3 linked regions of the Chlamydomonas reinhardtii genome follow. The protein of the gene in region 2 interacts with the protein of the main gene of each other region in a pairwise test. Links are inferred from orthologs where the notes say so. Each region holds a gene or a part of one and is shown on either strand. Other genes may lie near its edges.

Region 1 (7,058 bases), on a different chromosome or scaffold from region 2:
CGATGGTGGGCGGCAGCGAGGTGCCCGCCTGCGCCGCGCCCGTGTGCAGCGACATGTTGGTGGCGGTGGTGAAGGTGGTTGCGGCGCTGCCCACGCTGCTGGTCGCGATGTTCTGCAGCGGCGTGGCGCTGCCCATGGTGGCAGCGACGCTGGCGGCGACGGAGCGGTCGCCGGCGGCAACCACGAGCGAGTCGCGAGCGGCCTGCACCGCGGGGTGTAGGCCCGAGCTCTGGCCGCGGCCGAGCGTGCCGGTGGCGGCGCTGGCAACGGAGCCGGCCGCGGCGGTGCCGGAGGGCCGCGGCGGCGGCGTCATGAGGCCTGACGCGGCCGCGGCGGCGGCGGGCGGCAGCGCCGGGGGCAGGGGCGGGGAGAGCGAGTGCGGCATGCTGTTGCCGAACATGTGTTTGTGGGGCGTGGTGACAGTGATGTTCCAGCAGTCCAGCTTGTCCTCGCGCGCCACAGCAACCTGGGGGCGAAAGCGACAGAGGAGACCAGAACGTGGCGCCAGGGTGGCGCGAAACAATGTGCGGTATTGCGCAACATGCATGAAGATTCATGCCCCCCGCAGTAAGACGCCCTTGGGTTGCGCAGACCAATCAATTCGGGGCATGTCCACTTGTCCAGCCGTGGCGGTGGCGGATGCGGTAATACCAGCCGGCGACGGGGCGCCACAGAAACTCACCGAGTTGAGGGTCTTGTACGTTTTCTTGTGCCCCTTCATACACGTGGGGTCATAGGCGGGACCCCACATGAAGGTGCGCGACAGGTCGTTGCCTGGAGAGGAGAGGAAAGGCGGCCGTCAACACATGCTTGACCGTGCGCGATGTTATAAGTGCACGACAAAAAGTCGGCACATGAACGGTGCCTGACCAAACATGACTGTAACATCGCCACCCGCCCTTTCCTCATCCGTGCGGTTCAGACGCCACCTTAATTACTCACCCGTGCCGAGCGGGATCATGGCGACGGGTGGCTCCGGCTGCAACCGGAGCTTCTTGATGACGCCCATCACCCAAGCAATGGTGCCATCGCCGCCGCACACCAGCAACCGCAGCCGCTGCCTCACCAGAGTCGCCTGTGAATCGCCCGCAGCTTCCTGCGGGTTCCCACGCAAGGGCTGTGTGTCAGGGGCGGCAATGCATCCTACGCAGCGTCCCTTCGGTCACAGCAGCCATGCACGTAGGTTTTCGGTGCCTGTGCACCAGCTTACCTGCGCATGACTTGAACCCCACCTCAGCCGCCGCAAGGCCTACCTTGCCCCACTCCGCCCAGCTGCCGTGCCCTCTCTCAGCTGATACGCCATGCTGAGCCAGCATCATAGGAGCGCCCGCTACCACCGCCCAGTGATCCAACAGCAACCCAGGACCACGGCGCTGCCCCCAGCCTCACCCGCGTCCTGAGCACCTCATACAGACGGCCCAACACCCGGTCCGGCCGCTGGTCCTTCTCAGCGATGTCAAACACCTGTGGCGCAGCGAGATAGCGGTGGCGGGCAGTAACAGTTTGGGAAAAGGACCGCAGGGCACTTAACATTGTGTAGGGGCGCGCGCTTACACGGCGGGGCGCGGAACCAAAATTCGAGGCAGGTGGGAGGTGCTCCTTTACTCCGCAGCCTTTCTAGAGCAGGCCGACAATCAGCGTGGCCCTGAACCGGTGTGCGCCCTTGCCACCGCGTTATCCATGAGTGGTCCGTCCAACTCGCCGTCCACCCGTTGCCACAAGCACACGCACGCGCATCTACCAGAAGACAATCAGGCTGAAACTGCTGTGCCAACGCGCGTTTCCCCAGTCCTCACCTGCACACGGCCGATAGCTCGGCTCAGCGCCAGCGCTAGCTCCATGCCCTTCCGCCCACCCGAGCGCGCGTTCACAAAGCACAGTAGCGGGCATTCGTGGATGGCGTCCACGGCATCCGGGCGAATGTGCTCCAGCAGCGCGGTTGGCACACTGTCATGCAGCAGACAGCAATGGGCATGACAATTCAACGCGGTCGATGCCCGGCGCACGCAGCACCCGCGTGCTGGCCAGTACGAGTGGTGCCCGGCCCTTCTTGCCTTCCCTGTTGCTGTGTCTGTTCCCTGAGCTGCCCCTGTTGCTGTCCCTGTTCCCTGAGCTGCCCCTGCCCTGCTCCTAGCTCATACTTGTAAGGCGCTCGAAGCGTGTCGGCAGCACGCCAGTGCTCGTACGCACGGGTATCCAGGGGCGCCGCTTGCACCTGGCACGGATTGGCGAACATGCACCGTCCGGTTACCCGCTGACAGCGCCTGGCTGAGCGCCTGGTTCTCGTTCCCGCCTAGGCGCGCCGCGCCGCGCGGTGCCAGCCGCTCCGTACCGCATATCCCCCAGAGGCTTCCACAAGCCCAGCGTATGTGCAGGCTCAGGCACATTCGCTAATAAAACAGAAGCAGAAACTGCGGCCCACCTCGGCGGGTGTCGACATTGCGCTGCGCAGTCGTTCTGCCATATTACCCGGTATCTGTTGGAAAGAGCTTTAGATGGAACAAGAAAGATGTGCAGCAAAGTCACAGCGCGATTCTGTGCAACACTCTGCCGGGTCAAAGGCGTTCGCCAGCCCTGGTCCTGTTATCACAGCATATCGTCGGGTAACAGCTTATGTGCTTGAAGGTATTAGATACGGAGTCCGTTCAGACACGGGAACCTGGAAAATCACTGCCAAACTTGCATGATGAGGATGGGCATTCTTGACAGCCCCTCAAAGCTTTCCAAGTTCTTACCGACTACAGTCCTACAAACCAAGCTAGCAACATTAGCAACGGTATTAAAGCAGCAAAGCCTTCCTCTTCGCTGGAATTGTGAGAAAATGCTGGCTCGCGTTGCTATCGGCTCGCTTTCGAAAGCACGGCAAGCAGGTACTAATATCAATGTCATATTAGCTCCATTATGCTGGTTAAATGAAAAGAACGATTTGGGGAATGACCCACGCGTTGCACTGCAGCTGCGTTCTCCCCGTCGGCGGTGCTACAACGATGCCTTGCGACCGATGCCGACTCGCATGATGACTTTAAGCCCAAGCATGCGGCCCCCGCCACGTCCGCGAGCGTGGACGACCAAATTAAGGCTTCCATCGCCAAGGACAAGGTCCACGTCTTTATGAAGGCACGTCCTAGCGGCCCAATTTCCCCCACTCTGCCGAGTAAAGCCAGGGGATTGTAGAGGGGTGCGCATCCAATGCAAGGATGGCAAGGGGGAAAGCGCCGGCCTAACCACGCCCGTTCCGCTGGCCGCTGCTACTGCTTCCTATCCACTGCAGGGCACCCCCGATTCTCCCCAATGCGGCTTCAGCCGCATGGCCTGCGTCGTCCTGAACGCATATGGTACGTGTGCACCAATTGTCAGACGCTCCATTGGCTTGTTGCGCTGCAGTGGCATGTACTGTTGACGCCGGTGCTACCGTACTTCGGCACCGACGGAAGATGGTTGAATCGCATGCTCTTCGCTTCGCAGGTGTTCAGTTCGGCGCCACCAATGTGCTGTCGGACGCGGAGGTGCGGGAGGGTATTAAGAAGTTCACCAGCTGGCCCACAATTCCTCAGGTGCGTAGGGGTGCGCTTGCCCCGCTCTGCAATCAGTACGACACTGCGCCATACTGCATGCCTGTTTCCAATACCTTGCAGCTCCTGGCTTGGATTGGTTGGTGGACACGTTTCGGGAGCTTGGATGCAGCAGGGTTTTGCCGGGGCCGCAGAACGCAAAGCATCCCAGTGCACGCAAAACACACGTTATCAACCGACGATGCCACAGGTCTTTGTCAACGGCGAGTTCATCGGCGGGTGCGACATCCTCATGGGCATGCACGACAAGAACGAGCTGGAGCCGCTGCTCGAGCCCATTCGCAAGGAACAGGCGGCCGCGGCTAAGAAGTAATGGAGATGCAGGGGCTGATGGAAACATGCGGAGCTGGGGAGCAGACTGAGATTTCATGGAGGAGGGAGGAGTCCTGGATGGGTGATGGATGGACGCGGCTGAGAGGCAGAGCTTATATTGCGGTGTTTCTCTTGGAGTGGCTTAGCTTGGTGGGTAAGCATGCGTCAACATCGCTTGGAGCAGCGGCAACGGTCAGCGTCCAACGTCGCAGGGGGCGTCGGGTGGTCATGGGAGCTCACGGGGTGTCACTGTTGCCAACAGGGTGGAATGAAGTGTTAAAAGGGCCGGTGCGCAACACGGACATTTTCGTCATTTGGAGGGCTCTACTTGTCGTGATGGAGGAACCTGCAGAGTGAGATGTGGGAAGGGGGCCTACTTCATTTAGGTTGTTGCTGGGTGGGGGGGGGGGGGTCGGGTGGCGGTTGTGGGGCCTGGTGAACGTGTGGGTTCATGCTCGTCGATGAACCGAACGGTAGCTGACCCGCAAACTCATTGACAACCGCGATGCTTGTAGATATACAAACTCTGTAGGTCAATTGAATGAGTACAAAGGCCAGCAATTGGGCCGCTAGCACACGCATGCTCCATCGACAAAGCTGATAATTGCCTTCGACCTGAGGAGCCCAACCTTAAAACTCCAGAGACCTGTCAACACAAATGGGCCAAGGCGACGCACCGCCAGCTGCCGCTGCAGCAATGCATAGTTACGCGCAGACGTTGCCAGGCCCGTCGCAGCCGAGCTACGGAGCCTATCCACCTGGCGCATACCCTCAAGGATACCCAGGGTATCCACCACCTGTGAGTGCAGCGTCGACTTCGTATCGGGCGTTGGGAAAGTTGGTTGACAAGGGCCTTCAGCAGCTAGCGCGGTTCCTCTCATGTTGGCGTCGTGCGAGCGATTGTGCTGTAGGGATGGTTTCTGCCAAGGGTAGCCGGGGTCTGCCAGTGGGTGCGGGTGCCGTAGCCGGTGGGCCCCGGCACAGGGGCACGGCAGGGCAGACGGCACTCGGCTTGGGTTTTTTTGTTCGCTTTAATATCACCACGGGCTGCAACGGGCTCTCTTTCCCCCGCCGTAGGCTCCTCCTGGCAGCTACGCGCCTGCACAAGGACCGTATGCTCCCCCTGGCCCGCCCTACGGCCCGTCTGGGTATCTGTATCCCGCGCCGGGCCAACCTGTCATGGCAGCACATGTGCCCTACCCGCCTGGCACCATGATGATGGCAAGTCCATGTACCTGAGGCCGTGCGCCAGGGCCGGTCGGGGTTGGCGTTAGAGTTCTAGAAGGGGAAGCAGGACTGCAGTTCCGTGTTTGTGAAGGCTGATGTGTACGCGCGCCCTTCAGGTCGCCGTGACGGCACCTGCGGGCCCCGTGTCGCTGCCATCATACTGGCCGCCCTACCCCATTGAGGTCACGTGCCCGGGCTGTCGGGAGAAGGTCCAGTCGGTGGCAATCAGGGCGCCAGGTGCGAGCGGGAGGGGCAAGCCGAGTGCGCGGCGCGCTCCACGTTTAATGGCTGTGCACTGTTGTAAATGGTGCCTAGGGGATGCAGGCGGTTGTGCATTACCTGTGCACGCTCAGCTGCCGTCTTGAAACCGCCTGCACTGTGCGGTTTAACACCTTGCCTGCTGCCCGCTCAGGTCTGGGCACGTGGCTAATTGCGGGCGGCATCTGCTTGGTGGGCTGCGGTTTCGGATGCTGCCTTATCCCATTCTGCGTTGACAGCTGCAAGGTACGTTGTCGCTGACAGTTTCGACCGGAGGTCATGCTGCGCACCCATTAGGCTGACACGCAGCGGGACCTAGCTGCTCGCCTTGCCCGTCTTGGCTTCGAACGTATAACATGGCCATGCCCGCGGCCCGCCTGCAGGATTGCACGCACTCGTGTCCCAAGTGCAACCGGTTCCTGGGGCAGCACAAGATGGTGTAGATGGGCACGATGGGCTGATTGCGGGCGGCATCTGCTTGGTGGGCGGCCCAGACAGGGCGGCCACCTTTCGGGCGTGGGCTCATCAAGGCCGAGCGCAATCCAGCGAGCGATGAGTTGGCGCTCTGTTTGCGGAGGCAAAGGTGGGTTGTGTAGGTTGTTGGTGACGTCAGTGGGGGAGGAATTTGGGGCACGTTTCTGATGTTCGTACTGTGCGGTATGTGCCAGCCGTACAGTACACATAATAGCTTTGACATGATGTTGTTTGGCACTTGTTAAGCGTAGTCGTTTCATATGTCCCCTTGTTCTTCATGAATGGGACATTACAAGAAGGGGCACCGCACCCATTCCTTATGGCGCGTGCGTGGATGCAACACCAGAGCGTGCAGTCTGGTACAAGGACGGAGGCACGCATGGCGTGGCGTGTACCGGTATTGATAGCTGCTTTTTTGGCTCCGGAGCCCCGTCCTAAGACGAGCGCGCAAGTGCCCAGCTGGCTGAGCGCCCTCTCGCGCCGTAAGAGCGACAGCTCTGAGGGGTCCCATGGGGTGCGCTTGTCGGGCGCCGGGCTTCGGCACCATCCTTCTGCCAAGAACTCGACTATGCGCGGTAATTCGCAATCTCCAGACGCGTCGAATGAAATCCCGTTTCCTTGCATCCTGCGCAAAGATGGTGTTGTTGTACATGTAGTTGGTGTGCGATGAGATAGTGTTAAGGCAGGTTGGCGAAGTCCCGTAGGATGCAGCTAATGCCCAGACCCCAGCAGATGGCAAACAGTTTGCGCTGGTCGAATACCGGAGCTACTGTACCAACAAGTTGCTGGCTGGCTGGAAGTGCGGTGTGCGGTTTAAAATGAGGCACGCGCCGTGTCGCCGCCCCCCTGGCCCAGGCCTGGAGGCGCCCGTGTGGTGCCCTTTCAAAGCTCACCGAATCGAGCAGCGCCGGCCAGAGCCTATGGAACTTATGGATGCGGATTACAAGTAAGGGACAGCCCGACAAGCAGGGGCACGCGCACGCCATACCCACGCCGCGAGGGGCCATGCGACCCAAAGAGACAACACCCGCCCCCTGGTTGGCTGCCGACCTTCATAGTGTTACGCACATGAGTCGAAGCCAAGCCGAAGCCCGCCAAAGCCCCACCGCCACGTAACACCCCTCATCTCGTTTAGGTTTTTTATGATGTCCTTGTCCAGGGGGTTTCGGCGTGGGACACATCGCACACGTCGTCACGTCCAACACATATGCACTG
Region 2 (6,131 bases):
TTCTTCTTCATCGCCGTGTTCGCGCTGCCGCCCATCGACTACCCCCAGGGCATGTGGCCCACCTGCAACACTCCGGCTGCCGTTGGATCCCCCACGTGCTGCCCGGAGACGTACACCTACGACAATGTCACCTCCACAGTCACCATGGAGTGGCTGCGTGATAACCAGGGCAACGACGAGATTGCGAACAACCTGAACGGCGTGTGCTTCACCGACGGCGAGCCCTGGCCCGACTTTTTCAAGATGCCCGTGCTGATGCTGATGCTCATCACACTGCTCAACGACGGCACCCTGATCTCCATCGGCTACGACCACGTCAAGCCTTCGGCCATGCCCGAGAAGTGGAACCTGCCCGCGCTGTTTGCCATCTCGATCGTGCTGGGCATGGTGGCGTGCGGCTCCTCGCTGCTGCTGCTGTGGGCGGCGCTGGACTCGTGGAACACCAACGGCATCTTTCAGAAGTGGGGCCTGGGCGGCATGCCCTACGGCAAGGTCACTACCATCATTTATCTGAAGGTGTCCGTGTCCGATTTCCTGACGCTCTTCTCCGCCCGCACCCACGACGGCTTCTTCTGGTCAGCTCGCCCCAGCCCCATTCTGATGGGCGCCGCCCTGCTGGCGCTGTCGCTCTCCACCATCTTGGCGTGCGTGTGGCCCAAGGGCCACACCGACAAGCAGCTGAGCATGGGCCTGGCCTACGAGACCGACCCGCACAGCAACACCCTGATGCCGCTGTGGATCTGGATCTACTGCGTGTTCTGGTGAGTGTGGAGCGGTGGCTGGGCCAGGCGGCGTGGCACGAGGGTTGGGGGAGGGGAGGGTAAATGTTGGTGTAATGCCATAGCCAAGACAGTGAGCGCGTTTGCAGGCATTAAGCTGGCCTGGCGACCCTGACTTTGCGACCTGCTGTGATTCTGTGAACAGGTGGTTCGTTCAGGACTTCATGAAGGTGGCCGCCTACTGGATGATGCACCGCTACAACTGGTTCGACATCAACACCTCGGTAAGCGCAGCAACTGGGTCTGGAGGGACAACAAAAACGGCAGTGTGCTTTTGGGCTGCGCGCGCAATTTCATCTCCCCGTAATAAACAGCAATTGGTGGGGCTGCCGCACACCCGTATCCTTCACGCCGCACCGAGCGGGACTCCGCCTCTAATCTTCCCTTCCCTTTCCTTATTTGTTGCTATCCTGCAGATGGCCATCAACAAACGTGACGCCAACAAGGTGGACGACAGGCACGACCCCCTTGCCCGCGGCTCGGTGGGCCTGGTGGAGGGCAAGCTGCTGGCCGCCAAGGTGGAGGAGGCGCAGGCCAAGGTCAACGCCGCCATCAAGCACGACCAGGCCACCAACCTGGGCCGCGCCTCGGCCAACCTGGGCCGCGTGTCCGCCAACCTCAAGCAGGCGGGTATGGCGCGCCACTCGGGCAACCCCAAGGGTGCGGACGTGGAAGGCGCCGCGCAGACGGTGGAGAACGTGCTGTTGCACCTGGACGAGGCGCGGGGCGAGCTGGACCCCAAGGTGCAGCAGGAGATTGCGCCCGCCATCGAGGGCGTGCGGGAGGCCGCGGAGAAGCTGGCTGCCAACACGGCGGCCGCGCTCGGGGGAGCCAACCCCGAGCAGACGCTGGCAAAGATTTCCTCGAAGCGGCACATGTAAGCGGCGGCAGCAGGAGCGGCTCTGCTGCGGCGGGTATGCTAGCGGCTTGCTGGCGCGCCGCGGCGAGGACAGGGCTTGTTGTGCGCGTGTATCGTGCTGGGGGGGGGGGAGTAAACGTAGCCCGGAAAGGGGTTGCGCAACACTTATGTTCCTACATCGCACCTCTGGAGCGGAGTGGAGACGGTTTGCTTACTAGTATACTTTTGCTCGCATGAGCAAGCGCCGCCCTTCCAACGTGTCCGGTTCTTACTGCATGCCGGGGTCTGGCTGTTGCCTACAAACTTTGCGACTGGAGGTTTTAACCAACTTGCATGCGTGTGATGAAAGGCCTTGGGGGGACGGTTTGAGTGACGATGCGTTCACCTCGGCGGTCAGGGTGAAATAGGCTCGATGAATACCTGAGCGTACGCAATCGACAGCAAACGGGGTTGGACGTGTTCCTTCAATGACCAGTGATTTTGTGAGTATGTATGTCGCCCATGAAACCTAGGAAAAGACACAAACCGCAGTGTGACCTGTGATTGTTTGGGGAGCTTGCTGTGGCGCCCCCTCCGACGCAATACTGACGTGTTTGATGATGGTGTGGCCCGCGAGGCAGTTGGAAACGCGTGTGCGTATTATGCCTTAAGCGCGAGGCCGTGTGATCACTCGATAGGGCAGTCGGCAGCTATATTAGCTGACGGCGGATGGTTCACAGGAGACCGCACGAACAGTGCACGGCCGCGTGTCTCACACCCACGTGCCGCAATCCGGACTGGTACGTGGCGCGGTCAACGCTAGTGCCCGTCACAAGTCTGCTTGGACAGATGAATGTGTGTGTATGTGTGCGTGTAGTGTTTGTCAAGTCAATGCTTAATGAACGGGCAGCGGACGAGACAGGAGGTTTGAGGAGTTGCCTTTAATAAGACAGGGACGGAGCACCCACAGGCTCGAGACAGGGATGCATCATGTTTAGGAGAAGCGAGGGCTACGCTTTGAACTCGCTGTAAAGCAATGGCATGAATACGAATCCCCTGACAAGCTCCAACCGGGAGCACAAGTTGGTCGCCAACGCACTGGGCTCCATGCGGGTGGGGCGCGGCGCCTGGACTGCGGCGGGAACCTGAAAGGCCGCGGATGCTGTAGTCTCAGACTCAACCGTCCCATTGCAAGGAACACAACCCCTGATCTCAGCTATCGGCTATCGTCTCATTCTCAACGTCCAGTTCAGCGCGCAGTCGCAGTTGTGCGAACGGGGTGGGAGTGGGGTGCGTGCGCCGTGCGGTCACTCACTTGGTCCCCACCGCCTTATTTGCCATTACAGCTCAGTAGCATACCTACTGCACGCATGGAGTTCTAAATCTAAAACAGTGCTCTTTTGTCAGACTCCGAACGGGTAGCGTTATCGAACTAAAACCTAGCAGCTTCCCACTCCCACGACCCGCCTTTTGGCCGCACGGGCGTTGAGGCCCAAGCGGAGCGCAACCCGGGTCACGTGGAGACTTCAGGCGGTTGTGATGCTGCTCCTGTTAAAGGCCAGCCGCGTAACCTGATCGATCCACACAGAGGCGGCGGTGGTTGCCACACGAGGCCCCGGTGCAACACGGCGACCAGGAGGTGCGGCGTCAGCCTTTGGGCCGCCGGCAGCCAGGCTGTTGACTGGGGCCCAGCTGGAGAGGGCGGGGCGTTGGGGCCAAAGGTCACCAGGGAAAAGATGTATTGTGTGCGTGTGCCGCGTGGGGCCGTGGGCCATGGCAGTGACCCTCACATGAAGAGGACAGGCGCGCAGTCGCGCAGCTCTCAGAACGTCACGCGTGCCGGAATCACCTCAGCAACACAACGACAACGCTGCCACCTGTAGCTGCGTAAGCGCTTGTGTGACATGGGTCCGACCGGGAAGCTTTATCACAACTGAGCACACATGAAGAACCAGCTTCCCACCACACGACCCGCATTTTGGCCTGGCGAAGGTGCCGGGGCCCAGCCGAGGCCCACCCCCGGTCACCCCAGCGACCGTCCCCCCTCCTCCCTCCTGTGCAATCAGCATCACACGCATTCTACTTATCACTCCACCTAATCCCTCTTGCATCCTGATCCCATGACGGTCTGACGAGATTCACAATGTCATATCGCACCCTTGCTCCAACGTAACTCCACACCCTTGCTCCAGCGGCCCTCCTTGCGGCAAGTGGGAAGCAAGACAGAAGACGCCACCCGCAATGCCCCCGCCCCAATACTGCCTGCCGGGCACGAAGGCATCCACTCGACCGTGCCAAGCAGCACCAAACTATAACGTAACGCCATGTCGCTTGCGCAGTCAGGGCACACTGCACACACCACACCAAGTTCCGATCACCCTCGTCCTCAACACAGCCACCATGCCGGTGCCAAGGCAGCGGCCAACACGGTGTGCGTCTATGGCCGTGGCAGTGCCGCCGCATCAACTGCTGGCAGGGGCCGCCGCCGCCGCCGCCTGCGCCGGCGTCTGTGCCTTCTTGATCGACAGCGCGTGGATGTGCGCCATCTCGGCCTTCAGGGCGTCATTCACCTGTGCAGGGGCCGCAGCGGGGGTGCGGTTGAGTACGGTATCAGACCAATGCACGGCGCACGGAATGGTAATGAGAGGCTTGTTAGGAGTGCGGGCACAGCTGCGTGCTCTGCTGCCAAGTGTGACTGGGGGTGGGCCTCGCTGGGCCCCGGCACCTTCCCCAGGCCAAAAAGCGGGTCGTGTGGTGGGAAGCTGGTTGTTCATGTGTGTTCAGTTGTGATAAAGCTTCCCGGTCGGACCCATGCCTCAGCTACACTTACGCAGCAATATGTATCGGCCTTGCCAAGCTGTTGCTGAGGTGATCCGGCACGCATGACGTTCCGAAAGCTGCGCGGCTGCGCGCCTGTCCTCCTCATGTGAGGGCATTGCCATGGCCCACGGCCCCACGCGGCACACACACACATTACACCTTTCCCCGCGGTTACCTTTGGCCCCAACGCCCCGCCCACTCCAGCTGGGCCCCAGTCAACAGCCTGGCCGCCGGCGGCCCAAAGGCTGACGCCGCACCTCCTTGTCGCCGTGTTGCACCCTTGGTCGCACCGGGGCCTCGTGTTGCAGTCACCGCCGGATCTTAATTTACGCGACTGGCCTGTCACAGAAGTAGCCTTACAACCGACTGAACAGGGCGAGTCTGTCTCAAGTCTCCACGTGACCGGGGGTGGGCCCCGCTTGGCCCCTAGTACCAATAGAGGCCAAAAGGCGGGTCGTGGGAGTGGGAAGCTGCTCGTTTTAACTTTGATAAAGCTTGCCGTTCGGACCCTGACAAAAGAGCAACGGTTAGCGCATCAGAGCATGCACGCAGTAGGTGTCCACAATTTGTCCAGATGTGGTAAGTCAGGCATGGCTACGAGGAGTGACCGCGTGTGACTCTTATCTCCGCCGTCCGCCCTGGGCCGTGGCTCACGACGCCACTGCCTTTGTCGCTAAAGCATAGTACAGTAAGGTGACTGGCACAGTTGCATCGCATTGCATTGCGCAGGAGCAGCATTACCAGTCCTCTCGAGTTGTAACTGTACAGGGCGTGCCATTCTCAAACCCCGAGTCTCCACGTGACCGGGGGTGGGCCCCACTCGGCCCCAAACGCCCATGAGGCCAAAAGGTGGGTCGTGGGAGTGGGCAGCTGTTCGTTTTGATAAGTTGATAAAGCTTCCCGTTCGGACCCATGCCAGGAGAGCAGTGGTTTAGAGTCCGAGTGCATGCCGATTGCTGACAGTAGGTAGGCGTGCTGATGTGACTACGCCGGGTGTAACGGGTCACGGCGGTGGCTGTTATACCCACGTCGGGACCGAGTGCAGTGCTCCGGCTGGGCCATCTTGAGAGGCGGCGAGGGGCACGCCGGCGCTGACCATGTCAGCCCAATGGCCCACCCCTGAAGTACACCGGCCTGCTGGCAACCCCTTGCCGTAAACATTTGACCTGGTGGAAGTGGGCTGCTAAGCGCCACTGCCCCAGTCCGCCTACACGGCTCCCCGTCCCGGCCCCAGAGCCGCACGCCCCTTCCCAGCAGCCCCATTTCCGGTGCCCATACCCCAATTCCCGCAGCCCCACACCGTGCCCCCGCCACCCCTGCCTACTAGCTGCAAACAATGCCTCCAGCAGCTCTCGTAGGCCGCGCTGAGCATCCGTAACATTTCTCTGCACTTATGTAACATTACGGTACTGGGTTCTGCGTCGCGTTTGGGAGGCAAGCATTGGCATTATTTGCAGTACGCCCATCCCCCTGCTCATCCCTTGCACCGACCAGCTGCTGAGGCTCCCCGGTAACTGAGGCTGCCACGAACTGGCAACCGGCGCCCGCACCACCCCCGGTCACTGATGCCGTCCCCACCCGCCTTTGCTCCGTCCTTCACTCCGCGCTGACTGCTCGGCAGCGCACACTGCCACAACCGGCTCCATTACCCGTGTCGGGTGCCAGCTACTCGCCATACGCTGGGTCTAGCTTAG
Region 3 (7,768 bases), on a different chromosome or scaffold from region 2:
GTCAGAACCACCTCGTTTTGGGGCAAAAAGCCAGCGATGCGTTCCACAACTTCAGGGATCCAGACCTTGTGAGCGCTGCCATACTCTTCTTTTGCAGCGGAGCGCGTTCGGTAGGCGCGAGTGCGCTTTGGCGCGAACATGTTTCTAAAATCTGCCTTAACACGCCCGCTTTATCATAACACCACACTGTGAGCGTGCCTATAATGCACTGGTATATATGAATAGCAGATGCAACGCTGGTCGACCCAGCATGGACAAGATGATCAGCCACTCATGAATCTATGTAACCGAAGTGCCGTATAGTCCGCGCGCACACCGCCTCACGCCACATCCATGCGGTGAAGCATCTCCTGCAGGGGCAACGGAGGTGGGGTGCGCGATGGGGGTGGCGGCGAGGGGAGTCATCAATGCGTGTGCGTGTGTTGGAAAGCACGTGGAATGGGCGCACGCAGGATGCGCGTGTGTGCACATGTGGATACATGCGAGCTTGGGCTGTTGGGAGTGTCTTCGTGCCAACGCCAAAGCGGTTCAATATGCAAGTTTTCATGCTTCGTCCATTACACGACTGCAACCGTGAACAACACCCAATGTGATGGCATCAGAAGCGTTGAGCAGCCCCGTCGACAAGCCGCTGACTGTGACCTTTCCCCGCCTCTGAACATGCTGCCTCCTCCCTGACGCCACACCTGCACACCGCATCGTCTCCCCCCTGGTCCCCCCCCACACCCCACCTCTCACCTGCACTGTGCTGCCCAGCTCCCCCGCCGCCTTCATCTCCAGCACTATGTCACAGCCGCCCAGCAGCTCCCCACGCACATACAGCTGGGGGGTGGGGGTCCCAATAATCCCAACAAGAAAGCAGGAAGGTCATGTGTCAGGACACGCACGGGGAGAGTAGGTAGGGGCGGACGGGGCAAGAGGTGCAGGGGTTTCTGGAGGCACGGCGGCTCGCGCGTACGACAGGTACCTGCAGCCCCGTGGTACCGTACACCCCAGCGCCAGGCCCCGACCGCGGTCCACCAGCCTTTGGCCCACATCGGTTTCCCCAACGGTTCGGTCCGCAACAATTAATCCTACCACCGTCCCCACCCATCCCCCAAACCTACCTGCGGGTACGTGGGCCAGTTGCTGTACTCCTTGAGCCCCTGGCGCACCGCCTCGTCAGACAGGATGTCGAAGGCCCCGAAATCCACCGCCTCAGACTGCGGCGGGGCGGGGCGTTAGGGGGAGACATCATGATACTGCACAAACGATTTGGTGCTTGCGGTACACTGGTAAGCACCGAAAGTTACACCCGCGGTCACACACTCGGCGCCCAGAGCCCCAGCCCCCAGCCCCAGGCCACGTGAGGGCTCTAGCCTGCACTAGGCTGCACGTGCACACCAGCCCACCTGCGCGCCCTGTCCATCCCCCCGCTCGTTTTAGTTGGTTTTGGTTTAGTTTGGGCTGGTATTTACAACCCCCACCGCCCCCCACCTGCAGCGCCTCCACCACCTTCCTGCTGAAGCCGCAGCGGGGCTGCTCCGGACTGCCCTTCATGAACAGCATCACCTGGAGGAGGCGGCAAGGGGAGGGGCAGGGGGGCGGGGGGGGGGGGGGCGGGCGGGCGGGAGGGCGGCAGGGCGGGCGGGCGGGAGGAGGGGTTGGCAGACGTGTAGAGTGAAGTGCATGGGTCGGCGAGGAGGGCAGGGGTACGCAGTGAATACGGCAGTGTGTCGGCCGCCCCTCTGTCGCCTTCAGCCCCTAAGCAAACCAAGCAAGCCAATACCTGCAGTGCACCAGCTGTGCCTACTCAGCACCGCACCCCACAGCCCAAAGGCCCCAACGCCCCTTGGTTTTCTCCTCCTCCTCCCAACCCTCCCACCCCCAGCCCCCAGGTCGGGGTTGAGTTGGGTTTGTCGTAATCTAACCCTCCTCCCCAGCCGCTTCACTCACGGGCTTGGGTCCGGCCAGCAGCGCCTTGATGCGCTCCTGCACCGCACCCGCGTCCTCAGAGGAGGGGGCAGCGGCAGAGGGCGCGGCAGCAGCGGGGGCTGCAGCAGCGGGGGCTGCGGAGGACCCTGCGAGCATCAGGCGCGGCATCCCGTCCGGGCCACCACATGGTTTACCACTGGCAGTGGACCACAGGTCCTGCAGCTGGCTTCACGACAGCGAATAGCGCAAACCCGCGTCCATTCACCCACCCAGTCACCCACCCCGCTCCCCAGCCAACCCGCCCTACCCCTGTCCACCCCCACCTGCAGCCACGGCCGCCGCCGCCACCGCCTGGAAGTCCCGCCCCAGCTTGTCCCGCAGCAGCGCCTCCAGCTCGCCCGACCCCGCCATCTCCAGCACGATGTCGCAGCCGCCCACCAGCTCCCCCTTCACGTACAGCTGCGGGCCGGTAGCGCGTGGAGGTGGTGGAGGTGGCGGTTGTGGTTGTGGTGGTTGTGGTGGTTGTGGTGGTGGAGGGGTTGCGGTGGTGGTGGTGGTGGTGGTGGTGGAGGGGTTGCGGTGTTGGGTTAGGTGGGGGTTAGGGTGGTGTGGCGTAGGTAGGAGTGGGCAAGGGCGGAAGCGGCTGGCGTGGTTGAAAGGCGATTCCCGGTGTACCTTGAGCGTGACGCGGTGGGTGGGTGACCGCACAAGGACTGGAACTCGTCCGTCAACTTCCCCCCCGGTTATATTGCTTGCTCGTGAAACCACGGCATCCTCCCCCCCATGCTCCATATCCCCTCCGCGCATGCAGGTCGTGATGCTGAGCTCCCAAGGGTCCTCGGTTAGGTCCGGGCCTAGGCCCCCTTGCTTTCCCGCGCGCACGGCCAGAACAAACACCTCACCCCGCGCCCCTACAAACACACACACACACACCTGCGGGTATGTGGGCCAGTTGCTGTACTCCTTGAGCCCCTGGCGCACCGCCTCGTCAGACAGGATGTCCACCGACTTGAACGCCACCTGCAGGGGGGGAGGCGAGCGACACCACCAGGCGAGCGCGGCACGTGTTCACCACTGTGGCGTGATGGCCTTCAGGCAGCTGCCCCCGCGGCCCTACCACAGCACGTCCCCACGCGCTCCATCCCTATACCGTCTTCCCAAGCCACCCTCGTGATATCAACCAACAGCGCAAGCACCCCTACACCACCTACCACCACCTGCCCGCCCCTCCCCACCAGCACCCCACCCAGCACCCTCCACGCACACACACACACACGCGCACACCCTCATGCGCTCACCCCCAGCTTCTGCAGTGCCGCCACCACCTTGCTGCTGAAGCCGCAGCGGGGTGCCTCGCCCGAGCCCTTCATGAACAAGACCACCTGGGCAGGGAGGGGGGGGGGTCCAGGCATGACTCGTTAGGAGAAGGTGGGCGGAGGCATGGGGTCGTGATGAGACCTCGTGGGGCAGTTCAGAGGCACGGGGGAACCACCAAGCTGCACCGCGGTCGGGGCGGGGTGGCGGTGAAGCGCCGCCTGAGGCCGGACACGCGCCCGGGGACTCCCGTGCAGCGCCGCTGACCATCCTCCCTCCATCCCCATCCCCATCCTCCAGCCCATCTGCCCAGTACTCCCTCCTTCCCCTCCTCCCTCCCTTCCGCTCACCGGCCAGTTGCTGAGCAGGAAGGAGATGCGCCCGAACACAGCCGCCTTGTCTTCGGGGGCGGCGGCACCAGCACCGGCACCAGCGGCAGGCGTGGCGCCAGGCGCGGGTGCGGAGGTGGTGGCTGCCTGGCCCCCCCGTGCCAGTGCTGTGGCCTTGGCGGTGAGTGCGGGCGGGTCGGCCCCCTCTAGCCGGTCCACCACCGCACCAGACTGCAGGGGGGCGGGCCGGGGGGCCGGGGGGCCGGGGGGGGGGGGCGGCTGTCAGCCGGCGGTGCTGTCGCTTGTGCCCCTCGTCCCGTGCTGGCCATTGCCCCACCTGACTTGGAGGCCCCCTGGCCCATCCCTTGCGGCGCACCCGCGAACTAGGCTGCGTCCTAGCATCCTCCACATCCATCCAGCCCTCCCCTCTCCGCCCCTCCTCCCCCTCCACTCCCTCGCTGACCTTGAGGAACACAAAGTACGGCACGGTGGTGACGTCGTACTGCAGCGTCACGTCATCCACCACCTCAGCTTCCACCTGTGGGGATAATGTTTGTTTGTGTCAGGGGCAGGGTGGGTAAGCGGCCCAATCATGCGTGTAGGAGCGACTTGACGGTAAGGAGGTAGCGCTGTTACGTGTGTGGCGCTGGCCGCAAAGTCTGATTGCGCTCACCCGTCGCTCCCAACTACTCGCGCCGACGATGGGCCCGACATCTTCGTCCCCCCGCCCACCTTGCACCGTAACCCGCAACCAGCTCCATCGCCCCGCCGCCGGCGCACAACACGCCGCAGTGCGCCCTGGCTACTACGGCCGCACCCCTTCCCCAATCGCCCTCGCGCCGGCCTCACCCTCAAGCAGGCCAGTCCGGGCAGGTCTGCTGCGAGCTGCCCCAGCACTGCGTCCATGTGCTTGCAGGGCTCGCACCAGCTGGCCCAGAAGTACAGCACCGCCTGCGAGCCGCAGGAAGCAGGGGGGGGGGGGGGCGGGCGAACAGCAGGCAGCAACGTTGGCAAGGTGGAGAAGGGAGCCGCAGTGTCATTCCACATGAATGTCATCTTATCATTCTTCTTGTGCTGACATGACACGCGCGCGAAGCTCGTGGTAGAAGCTTCTGGCCGTCGCAACAACTCGTGGAAAGAATCTGCAGCGACGCAGCGTACGCACCGGCTTGCCCGAGCTCGCCACCGCCGCCACGTCTGCCGCAGACTTCACATCTTGAAGCGGCATATTTATGAGTTAGTAAGGACCTAAAACCACGGGAGGGGCGATCTGCGTTGATTCGCGCCGAAACAATACTTGACACAACTGTATAAATTCGATGTAGTTTGAGCACTCATTTAACAAGTGAAGGGGCGTGGTAAAGCTTCCTCCGGCGTGTGTCTGGCAGCGCTGCAAGGTCCCATGAGAAAATGGAATCAAAACTCAGAGAGCGAGCTTCCACAAACTTGTATCAATTGTCTATGCCTTAACAAGGTAGCATCCCTGTGAACCATACTACCCCGCGCATTCAAGGGAAAGCTGCTCCAGGCCTGTATGACAGGTCAAACCCGTGTTGTCGGCGTATGTTTGCGGCTATGATGAACATTTAGCATTCTGTAAATGGCGGCTGGGCCTTCAGCAGGCGTAGTTTCGCTGCTGCTCGGCGCAGGCCTCCTGCTGCTCTCCAGCTGCGCCGGCAAATATGTGCTGGGAAATGCACTTGGACAGCCATGGTGTGAAGCGTTTACAGGTAAGAACGGTGAAAGAAGCGAGGGGCGTCGGACTGGCGTGTGTGTGGGGGCAGCTCAGCTCCAGTTCCTTGAACGGGGCTGCGCTTTCTACACGGCTGCCCCCAATGCACACGTGACAATGCTTTGCGTGTTTTTCGTTTTACGGGCTGCTGGAATGCGCGGGAACGTGGGGTTTTGGGAGGCTCGGAAATGTGGACCCCGCGAAGCGGCACAGGCCGTCTGCGGCCAGCGAGCCCTTCAATCCTGTGGAAACTCAAAAAATACGAGCTTGTATCTGCAGCGGCGGCGCTGCTGTTCATCCTGCGTTGTGGAGGCCAGCGGAGCTCCGGCGGGACCTGCAACATCTCTTCCTCCGCTGGGCCCTCTTCGTCCGAGGTTCTGCTTGGCACGGCGCTGGGTGAGCGAGGTTTCCGTAGCAGCTTCTTCCTCGATCATCAACGGATGCAAGTAGTGCAGTACTACGGAAGCTCGTCGCACGAACTCGGGTTTGGGTTCTACGGAGGCCTGCTTTGCGGTCACAACAATGGTCTGTTTCCCGGCGCCTGGCACCGCGGCTTGCCTCAATCTTTCGTGCCCTGCTCTCGCTCTTAATCTCATGGACCTCACTTCGTGCGCCTGCTGCTCACCGCAGGCTGCCTGCTGGGCGGGGTCAGTGCGTACACGGGCGCCTGGACCACGCTGCTGGCGCTGGTGGCTGCGGCGGCAGTGCTCATTCATGCGCCGCCCTGCCCCCAGCGCTCAGCAGCCGCCCCCATAAGCCCCGGCCGCAGCCCCAAGGGCGGTGCGGGCACCCCCAAAGGTGGCCACTCAGCGTCCTCCGCTGCTGTTTCCTCCGATGCCTTACCCCCCGGCTGCGGCTCCGTGCCCAGTCTGGGTTTCTGGCAGCTGCTGCTGGCCGCGCTGTTCTTCACTGCACGAGCCGCCACTGCATCGGGAGCCGGGCTGGCGGGCTGCGCGGCGGCGGCCGCCAGCCACCTGGTGGCGCTGGTGGCGGCGGCGGAGCTGCTGGTGGCGCTGGCGCCGCCTGGCAGGACCAGCCCCACCGCTGGGAGCACAGGCAGTGGCGGCGCCGCTGCGGAGTTGGGTGGCGCCGTGGGCTCGGTGGCGGGGACGCCACGGCTGCACCGAAGCAGCTCGGGCGCGACCAGCCCCGTGTTCGGGGGCACGGTGCAGGCACACTTGAAGGAGCTGGGGCCGGGGCTGGCCTCGCCCTATTACTCCCTGAAGCGCAGTGCCAGCACCGGCGCCGCCTTCATGCTGGCAGGGGCGGGGGGGCAGCCATCCGCAGCGGCCACCGCAGCAGCAGCAGCAGCAGCCTTCGTGGCCGGGCCAGGCGACGGCAGCGGGCGGTCGGCTGCGCATGCCCTGCTGCCACTGCTGCCGCAGGTGAGCGAGGGCGACGACCTGCCGCAGGACGCCGCGTGTATCGTGGGCGTGGGGGCAGGGCAGGGATCTGGCCTGGGGGCGTCCAGTCACAACGTGCATCTACAGCACCAGCTGCAGCAGCGCCAGGGTCAGGGTCAGGGCCTGCAGCGCTCCGGGTCGACGGCCGACGCGGCTCTGGCCGGCACCACAGCAGGGCGGTGCAGCAGCATGCCGCACACGAAGGCGCGAGGGGCGCAGGAAGGTGCCGTGGACAGCCCCTGGCGCCGAGCGCAGTCGGCGCGGGTGTATGCTGGAGGCGCGCCGGACGGTGCTTCGGCACCTGTGCCTGCAGGCGCGGGCGCCGCCGCCTCGCCGGCACCAGGGCGCTCCCAGCCTCCGCAGGGGGCGGTGTCGCCGCTGCTGGGTCCGGTGGGCTTGGTGGATGGCGGCGGGGTGCGGGCCGGAGACTCGGCCGGGGCGCACATGTACCCGGGGGTGGCGGGCACTGCGGCTGTAGCAGCAGGCGGCACAGCGCCTGCCGCGGCTGGCGGCTCTCGCCGCACCCCGGCCGGCCTGCATTGCTGCAGCAGCCTCAACACCGACCCCGGCATGACCGACTGTGGAGCAGGGGCGGGCGGGCGCGGTGCTGCCCCTGCCCTTGCCCTGACCGTGGGCTCTCTGTCCGGCCCACACGACATGTCCGGGAGCGGCCTGCACGCGCTGGAGGCCGGGGTGGGGCCGGGTGTGGCGGCGGCCGCCAGTGCCGGCCTGCCGGGATGTCAGCCAGGGTCGCCTCACAACTACGTAGGCGTCGAAGCTGCAGGCGCACGTGCGGACACAGAGGCAGCGGCACGCAGAGTTGGCGGCACGAGTCAGCAGCCGCGGCCGGCGGCGGGCGCACCGCTGGTCCCCGTGTCCGAGCTGCTGCCCGAGGGCCGCGGCACGGGGGCTGCTGGCGGCGGCTCCCGCTACGGCCACGGACACGGCCGGGATGACTCGGGGTCGGGGTCGGGGTCGGGCAGCTGCAGTGACGGCGGCAGTGAGGGCAGCGAGGAGGAGGACGAGGGCGAGTACGCGGGCGGGCGCTGGGGCCAGGGCGGGGCCGGCGGCCGCGC

Evidence for each region.
Region 1: the proteins of CHLRE_03g164550v5 (region 2) and CHLRE_07g325600v5 interact in a two-hybrid assay, tested with the Arabidopsis thaliana proteins (2 studies listed by BioGRID). The link is inferred for Chlamydomonas reinhardtii from reciprocal best matches to the Arabidopsis thaliana genes AT5G09830 and GRX4.
Region 3: the proteins of CHLRE_03g164550v5 (region 2) and CHLRE_04g232602v5 interact in a two-hybrid assay, tested with the Arabidopsis thaliana proteins (2 studies listed by BioGRID). The link is inferred for Chlamydomonas reinhardtii from reciprocal best matches to the Arabidopsis thaliana genes AT5G09830 and GRXS17.

Annotation. Positions count from the first base shown.
Region 1 is NC_057010.1:1,688,118-1,695,175, forward strand, and holds CHLRE_07g325600v5 (uncharacterized protein), read left to right. Parts: upstream 1-2,734; 5' UTR 2,735-2,821; coding exon 2,822-2,870; intron 2,871-2,956; coding exon 2,957-3,117; intron 3,118-3,271; coding exon 3,272-3,335; intron 3,336-3,465; coding exon 3,466-3,554; intron 3,555-3,762; coding exon 3,763-3,885; 3' UTR 3,886-4,356; downstream 4,357-7,058. Other genes in the region: CHLRE_07g325550v5 (uncharacterized protein), read right to left, coding at 1-466, 683-774, 943-1,096, 1,390-1,464, 1,797-1,947, 2,142-2,215, 2,423-2,464; CHLRE_07g325650v5 (uncharacterized protein), read left to right, coding at 4,543-4,683, 4,962-5,105, 5,228-5,348, 5,524-5,615, 5,753-5,812.
Region 2 is NC_057006.1:3,074,016-3,080,146, reverse strand, and holds the end of CHLRE_03g164550v5 (uncharacterized protein), read right to left. Parts: intron 4,188-6,131; coding exon 4,080-4,187; 3' UTR 2,946-4,079; downstream 1-2,945. Other genes in the region: CHLRE_03g164600v5 (uncharacterized protein), read left to right, coding at 1-761, 925-1,003, 1,196-1,660. UniProt on the Arabidopsis thaliana protein: May act either alone or in interaction with glutaredoxin as a redox-regulated transcriptional regulator, or as a factor regulating Fe-S cluster biogenesis. The GRXS17-BOLA2 heterodimer binds a labile, oxygen sensitive iron-sulfur cluster.
Region 3 is NC_057007.1:4,040,940-4,048,707, reverse strand, and holds the start of CHLRE_04g232602v5 (uncharacterized protein), read right to left. Parts: upstream 5,003-7,768; 5' UTR 4,786-5,002; coding exon 4,723-4,785; intron 4,509-4,722; coding exon 4,407-4,508; intron 4,096-4,406; coding exon 4,021-4,095; intron 3,789-4,020; coding exon 3,579-3,788; intron 3,297-3,578; coding exon 3,213-3,296; intron 2,935-3,212; coding exon 2,848-2,934; intron 2,374-2,847; coding exon 2,238-2,373; intron 2,061-2,237; coding exon 1,936-2,060; intron 1,552-1,935; coding exon 1,477-1,551; intron 1,203-1,476; coding exon 1,107-1,202; intron 823-1,106; coding exon 739-822; intron 351-738; coding exon 321-350; 3' UTR 1-320. Other genes in the region: CHLRE_04g232502v5 (uncharacterized protein), read left to right, coding at 5,158-5,287, 5,569-5,685, 5,920-7,768. UniProt on the Arabidopsis thaliana protein: May only reduce GSH-thiol disulfides, but not protein disulfides. Participates probably to the maturation of iron-sulfur proteins and to the regulation of the redox state of the BOLA proteins.